Arabidopsis thaliana: one gene and its partner. The main gene of each other region encodes a partner of the protein of the gene in region 2 in a complex. Each region holds a gene or a part of one and is shown on either strand. Other genes may lie near its edges.

The links. Proteins that work in one complex are often made in the same cells at the same time.
Region 1: MAGO (region 2) and Y14 share a complex: the UniProt entries of both Arabidopsis thaliana proteins name them as parts of the mRNA splicing-dependent exon junction complex.

The regions. Positions count from the first base shown.
Region 1 is NC_003070.9:19,102,860-19,106,612, forward strand, and holds the start of Y14 (RNA-binding (RRM/RBD/RNP motifs) family protein), read right to left. Parts: upstream 2,075-3,753; 5' UTR 1,895-2,074; coding exon 1,624-1,894; intron 1,311-1,623; coding exon 1,174-1,310; intron 665-1,173; coding exon 510-664; intron 259-509; coding exon 213-258; 3' UTR 1-212. UniProt on the Arabidopsis thaliana protein: Core component of the splicing-dependent multiprotein exon junction complex (EJC) deposited at splice junctions on mRNAs.
Region 2 is NC_003070.9:402,549-406,301, reverse strand, and holds MAGO (mago nashi family protein), read left to right. Parts: upstream 1-1,845; 5' UTR 1,846-1,900; coding exon 1,901-2,116; intron 2,117-2,354; coding exon 2,355-2,531; intron 2,532-2,775; coding exon 2,776-2,835; 3' UTR 2,836-3,202; downstream 3,203-3,753. Other genes in the region: ALG12 (homolog of asparagine-linked glycosylation 12), read right to left, coding at 1-55, 170-241, 351-409, 537-654, 817-872, 986-1,072, 1,192-1,237, 1,349-1,390 and 2 more. UniProt on the Arabidopsis thaliana protein: Core component of the splicing-dependent multiprotein exon junction complex (EJC) deposited at splice junctions on mRNAs.

The DNA.
Region 1 (3,753 bases), about 19 Mb from region 2:
CAAAGCATTAAAACAGATCTCATGGTGTTTAAACGCAACAATCCCATGCAAATGCATAAAGAGATAAACCAATGCAAAAGCAGCCAAACCCTACAAAAACCCCAGAAAAAAATTTGTTCAACACTCAGCGTCTTGCATCAGTACCTTACAGATAAGAGAGGGAATCCCTAATACAGAGAGATATGGGGAGAACTCTCCACCAAATCATACAATCAGTAACGTCTTCTCGGACTTCTTGAACGTTGCGACCTCCCATACCTGTAAAACCCCAATGATCAATGGATGATGATTTAAAGAAAGGTATAACTACTTGACAAGTCACAAGTGATTTCGATTCATTAGCATAAAGACAGTAAAGTTTGGTAGGTGCTTAGTACAATATACTACCTTGTCAACTGTTAAAACTTCTAAGTCTATATCTTAATTGATACTTTTTGACACTCTTGACTTCATATCGGCACAAGATCAGACAAGTCGTAGCGGAACAGAAAAGAGATTAGGATACAAACCTCGAGTTCTTTCTCCTGTAAGATTCACCACCACTGGGACCGCTGCTGAAGGCCCAGTCAACGCTAACATTCTGTGTTAGAAGCTCAGCACCATTCATTGCTGAAATAGCGCTCTGTGCTTCTTCCTTCTTCTCATATTCTATCAAAGCATATCCCTTATCAAAAAAAACAAAAGCAAAGTGTTACTTCCACTTCCATGAGAACTCAAGCAAACTAAAGAAAAATAATATTTGATTCCTAAACTCGCATCTAGAAGACAGCTTATCTTATTCGACCCGTCATTTCTGACACTTTGAAGTAACTTAAACGAAGTGTCCTTAGGGAACAGCATTGCACTTTACAGAATATTACATCTCCCTCTTAAAAGCAATGTAACATTGCAAAGATAAATTTATCATTTTTGGCTCTCAATTTCAGATATTCAGTATTACATTGATTAACACAAAGCATGTCAAAGAGTAAAGTCAACATCTACGACAAAACAGTATTGCATTCATCTCTAAATTACATCATGACAACAATCCAACAAATCAAGCTTCACTATAACAAACCAAAAGGCAAAATGATATCAACATAACTAAGCAAAAAAATTAGCTTCACAATAACTAACCAAAAGGCATAATGACATCAAGAGCCACTAAGAAACAAAGGCAAAACTCCATACCTTGACATAACCACTACGGCGATCGAGATTGAGATTTAGATTCTTAATCTCCCCAAAATCACCAAAAGCATTGGTTATATCCTCCTCCTGTGTCTCCTCATGAACTCCAGAGACCAAGATAATCCATCCTTCAACGGCTACACATAAACACACACAACAAACAAATTCATCCAAAACAGTCCCAATTCTTCATTACCCTCAAAGAAACTATGTTCTATCTTCACAGACTCTAGAACCATTACATTTTTTATAATGGTTACAAACTAAATCTAAACCAATCTAATTTTTTTCAAAAAACTTCTAGGTCAAATTGAATCCCAAACACAAGGGGTTATGAGAAACCCTAGAACAAATTACTACCACAAATAAATCAACAACGCGAAGAATCAGTATGCCAACACTAAAACCTAACTAAAAACAGCGAAAGAGGAAGAGATTTAGTGAAATTACATCTCTGCGGACCAGGACGGCCATCTGAACCAAGTGATTCGAAATCGCGTGAGGAAAGACGACGCTGACGATCGGAATCTTTCTCCTCGCGAAACCCACGGCCTTTGGTCTTCTTTGCTGATTCGCCATTAGCTCCGGCAATAGCCGACTTAAGCCTCGGATGTCCCGCGCGTGGAGAAACATCAGCTCCGTCAATAGCTGTACCTTCTTCGTCCATAAGGTCATCCTCCTCTGGCTCGAAATCGACTGCTTCTGATTCTATGTTCGCCATGACTTCCGCCGCCGTAAGATTTCCGATAGATCTCTTCCCGTTTCGCCGACTGATTTTTTGTTTCCTTTGTTTTTGGGGACGGAGCTCTTTCTTCTATCAAGATATTTCTCTGCCAGTGTTGTTTATAGGAATATATTGGACCTTAAGTGGGCTTATTTTGGGCTTTTACGCTTGTATTTCTTTCTCACGCTAGTTTTTCCTTTTCCCTTTTAAACAGGCTTTGATTAAACTCCTCTCGTCAATGTTAGTGGGCTTATTTTGGGCTCTTACTTTTTTTATTTATTCTTTCACGCTTCAGAGTAAGCTAAGCCTTTGATTTTTTAGGTTTCTTACAAAACAGGCTTAAGCCTTTGATGAAAACTTCTCTTGTTAATGTTACATTATCTGAATTTCATATGTCGAGAGTGAATCATGGCATACCTTTTTAAGCATTCATGATGTCAAATTATTGTATCACTTCATAATTAGGATACTATCAATCATATTGTGGTATTTAACACTTTACAGTCGATACTGGTCCATCTCTTTGATGGTGATCATCATTGTTTTATCCGTTTGCATACAATCATTATAGTCGAATATTGCTTTCTAATTCCCACTCTAATCTCAAATAAATCTCGTCCAACATGTTCGACCAAATTCTAAGAAAGAAAACATAGAGAGATGCAAAGCATTTAAAGAAAACAAATCTTAGTTCGTCGCCAATAATTACTTACGTCATTTAGAGGAGGGGAGAGCATTAATTTGGAAAACATTTATTGTCTGGTTCTGTTGACTAAAGTAGTACAAAACTCTGGTCAATTTACGACAACTATTTAACAACACACGTGTCCTTAAAGAAGCTATATCGACCGTTGATATAATATCTAAAGATAATCTTAACGGGTAGGATTTGGAAATGAAGTAACCGAAGACCGTACACTCGTTACAGTGTTGAGGAAAAATTAATGTCATGCGCGAGTTTTGGTGTGACGGGGAAAAGAACAGCTGCCTGACAAAATTTTGTTTTATGGGATGGGATAGGGTAATTGTTGTCGATGAGCCCTATACTAAAAATAGTAGACTTCACAGTTCAAGTGACCGTTTGTCTTTAGCTGGCCCGGTCATGAGAGTTAAGGGCAAAAAATATTTTACGGGCAGGTCCTAATATTTATAGAGTATACTTTTTCTTTACGGGCAGGTCCTAAGATTTATATAATCTATACATCACAATGCTAGTTTTCACTTAGCTATGTTCAGGGATAAGCCTGGCCCTTATTCATTTGGTTTTGTTTTTTGATAGAGTTTTTGACCTCATTTTTCCCCTTTTACTTGCAGGTTGTAACGCCAAAGAGTTTGGGAGAAAAAAAAAATTAAATCCACCAAACAGTTGTAATTATCAATTTTGTTGGAACCAAGTGATTCCCATTACTATAGGTGAAGAAACTAAAATCTTTATTAGTATAGAGTATAGAAAGTGGCAGACCAAGAATTTCTTTTTTTTTTTGGGGTCAAATAATTTAGTTAACTAAAAAATTACTTTATATAAATTATTTTAACTAAATAATTTAATTATCTCCAATAATCTTTTACTGCAAATATAAATTGTTCTTCTAACAAATCAATCTAATAAACAAAAAAACAAAAACGAAAACAATGTATTGAAAAAGCTACTTTATCCATGAAAAAGGGAATACATAGTGTTGATACCTACTAAAATCTGTTACTACAATCTTTTTAAAATCTGTTAATGCTCTTAATTTGCCAAAATAATCAGGTCAATATATATGATTTCTTTCCATTCTAATCTCGCTCTTTACGAAACTTGAATATCCCTAAAAATCGATAACAGTTTCAAAGAACAATAAAAACAAAAAAGG
Region 2 (3,753 bases):
ACAGAGCGGTTCCAACACAATACTTAAGTGCTTTCCAGAAGGAGATCGATTTGGTCTGTCATTGACAAACATAAAGCACCCGCATCAGATGGAACGGTAAAGTATACGGCCAATTATACATATACAGAAGTTGAGAACCCAAACTATTTAATATTCGTCACCAGCTCACCAATAAAAGTTCAAGACCAATAGGCCCAAGCAGTAACATCGTATCGCATCTGAAGATTACAGTGGCAAAAATCTGATTATCGGATAACAGAGATGTCAGCAAACCCCATAGTTCTGGATAGCATGACCGATTTTCTAAATCTATAATCGAGAAAATATGTCACCACAAAGATAATACATACCAGGAAACTCAAAGCTGGATAAAAATTTCCCTTTAACCAATTACCATATGCCAGATTGACTGCAAAATCAAAATTTAAAAACATAAGCAGAACCTAGTAAGGCCTACGCTAGATGGGTCATGGGAAAGATTGCTAGGACATCTGAAGGACCACTACTAGTAGAGTAAGATGAATAGAAGTAATTACCTAATCCCAAAGCTAGAATATTAGGAAGAGGACGAGTGCAGTAGAAAAGAAAATGAAACTGAAGACTGGTGAAAAGTACAAAGAAAGTTTCCACTTGATTTCCAAACTTTTTTTTTATCTGACAAACCAGTAGATTTTGGTCAGTGGCAGTATATAGGAGAAAAACAGCCAACAAGATGCATGTAAGAGATCCCAATTCCAAGGACATGGGAAGGGACAAAGAATCAGATAGGGGAGTCAGAAGTGTGGTATGGAAAGAAGCACTAAAGGAACTTCATACCTGAATCCGGAAAAATCTTAGTGTGGACAATATGATGCAGCCCAACACCAAACGAGCTGCAAGACAAAATGATAAAACTATGATGTGAATTGGTTTTGTCTGTGTTTAGGGGAAAATAGTTAGCGATTCATTAAGGAATTATATAGGGAGGGAGAAACAGAAGAGAAACCTGCAACAAGGCTATAAACCTTGGGGAAGCCAAGGCAGCTGATAATTGATACAACAGGTGATGCAAAAACAGAGACTATGAAGGCTCCTGCAAGAACAAATCAGAGTGGAATAAAAAAAAAACCATCCACTAATGTATAATGATAAAAAAAAAACCATCAACAGGTGATGCAAAAACAGAGAGCGAAATTCAACAGCCCTCCTTACCAATAAAAGTTCGAGGGACAACACCGGGGAACTCCAAATGATCATACTGATAGGAAAAAAATAAAAAGACAGAAGTCGGTAAAAATTGACATCACTCTAGAGATAAAAAAAAAAAGAGTAAAGCTTCAGAGAAGAAGTAAAAAGAGAGGTCACTCACAGAGTCCAAATGATGGCGATGGTAAAGAATGTCGTGCATTGACTTGAGACGAGTGAAACGGTTTCAGTAAAACGGAGAAAGAGTGTGACTCTAAATACTTTGAAAACCTACCTGAACGTTGAAGCTCTCTTCCACCTTAGTATATGGTGCCATGACCACATAGATTGCAGCTACAGATCCCAGAATCAAATCATATCCTGCTCCCACCAATCGAAAGTTTCAGTTATATAAAAAAAGAAAAAGAGATCATCTGGCCGCCTAAGAAGACGAAACGAAGAAATTACCATAGGATTGAAGAAACTTGGCCATTTTCGAATCCGTCGGCATCGTCTCTGTATCGGGGAATCGGAAATCAGGCAGCCCGGATACACACACAATTTCGATGGAAACAGAAAAACTAAAACTGGGCCTTAACTTTTCGGGTTACAAATGGGTTCTGGCCCAATATGTAAGCCCATTACCTTTTTTCTTTTGCGGGGACGGACTTAAAGAAGGGCAAAGGACACGGAGAGGTAATCTCGATCTCGAGAAAGAAAGAAAAAAAGAGAAGGCATGGCCGCGGAAGAAGCGACGGAGTTCTACCTGAGATACTATGTCGGTCACAAAGGGAAATTTGGACACGAGTTCCTGGAGTTCGAGTTTAGAGAGGACGGTAAGCTCCGTTACGCCAATAACTCTAACTACAAGAACGATACTATTATCCGCAAGGAGGTATTTCTCACCCCCGCCGTGCTCAAGGAATGCAAGCGTATCGTCTCCGAGAGCGAGGTCCTTTTTCTCTCTCTCTTCCGATTTGCTTCTCTCTTGTTAATTGTCCGCGTTTTGGTCAATCGACGCTATAATAGCCAATTAGGGTTTTAGTGATTTTGCTTCGATTTTTGTCGATCTAGGGCATCTTTCCTGACTAGTGTTGTAGGTTTAGAACCCTCTTCGTTGTTAATGCTATTATCTAGGAATAATGGATGATTTTGTACAACCTGACATGTGATTATTTGTCTGCGGGTAGATTCTGAAAGAAGACGATAACAATTGGCCGGAACCTGACCGTGTTGGAAAGCAAGAGCTCGAGATCGTCTTGGGTAATGAGCATATCTCATTCGCTACATCTAAGATTGGATCTCTTGTTGATTGCCAGAGCAGTAATGATCCTGAAGGACTTCGCATCTTCTACTATCTTGTTCAGGTCTCCTCTCTTTTTCTTCCACCCCTTGCCTTACCATCTTTTCTTTTACCTAATCCCTTAACTCTATTGGACTCGATTATATATTTAGGACTCTGCCTTTTAACGTATTCACTGTCTCAAACTTTAACATTTAGGGTTTGGCTGTTAACACTCATCCCTTACATGGTTCTGTAGTTTTTTTTTTTTTAGTTTCTGTATTTATTTGTGCTCTAACATATTCCTTTTGAAACTTTCATGGTTGCAGGACTTGAAATGTCTTGTTTTTTCGCTCATCTCTCTGCACTTCAAAATCAAGCCTATCTAGAGAAGAAAATCAGTTTGTGACATGTCAAGACGCGATGAATTTGTTGGGAACATGAGGACTTTGTGACTGAAGTTTGGTTGTTTTTATGTCTCTGGTTCTCTGTTTTTTTTTTTTGTTGGATTTGGGTGAAAGTGGGTATGTAAGATGTTCTACCTCAACTTTTGGTCCTTTTTTGTGTCAACATCCCATGTGAAGAACCTTTCATGAACCACAACCTATCTTCTAAAAACCATATACTTGCTGTTTTCTTATCACAAATCATTCACTCTCCCTAATGTACATCTACATATGATGCATGTTTCTTTTCCCTCAAGCCAATTTAAACTAAGGAATGTGATCTATCTAAAATACAAAGTATCAAAAACTAGCTGGATTAGTCGATAATTAGGATTGTTTCCATTCTAAAAAAACGCCCTCGGACCATTCAAACTGCTCCTCCAAAACCCGTAAATCTGGTTTTGCATTGAAGATATCAAGAGTAGCTTTTTATGAATCGGGAAGAACAATGGAGGATTCATTTGTCAGTGTCAGGCGGATTACTCACAGCCTAGACAGAGGACGCACCTGCCATTCATCCTCAGGTTAAGCACGCACTAGTCTCCTTTACCTTGTTGTAGTGTGTTGCAGAGAGTCACATGCATATTTCATCTTGTGGCAGGATCAGGTGCATGGTTAGGGCGGGGACTGGCTTGTGTTTGTGCACAGAAAAGGGATCACCACTCTCGTTATTCCTTTGATCTCACCCCTGCTCAGGCACCAACTAGCATCAGCTAGTTAGTTAGTTACCTTTTAAGATGGTCGGGGAAACATTAGTAGCTGGTTAGTTAGTTAGTTACAGCAGCTTTGGGTTAAGAGAGATAAACGCGAAGCCATATATATTGACAATTGGATGGTGTATAATTTATTGTTAGAAAACGA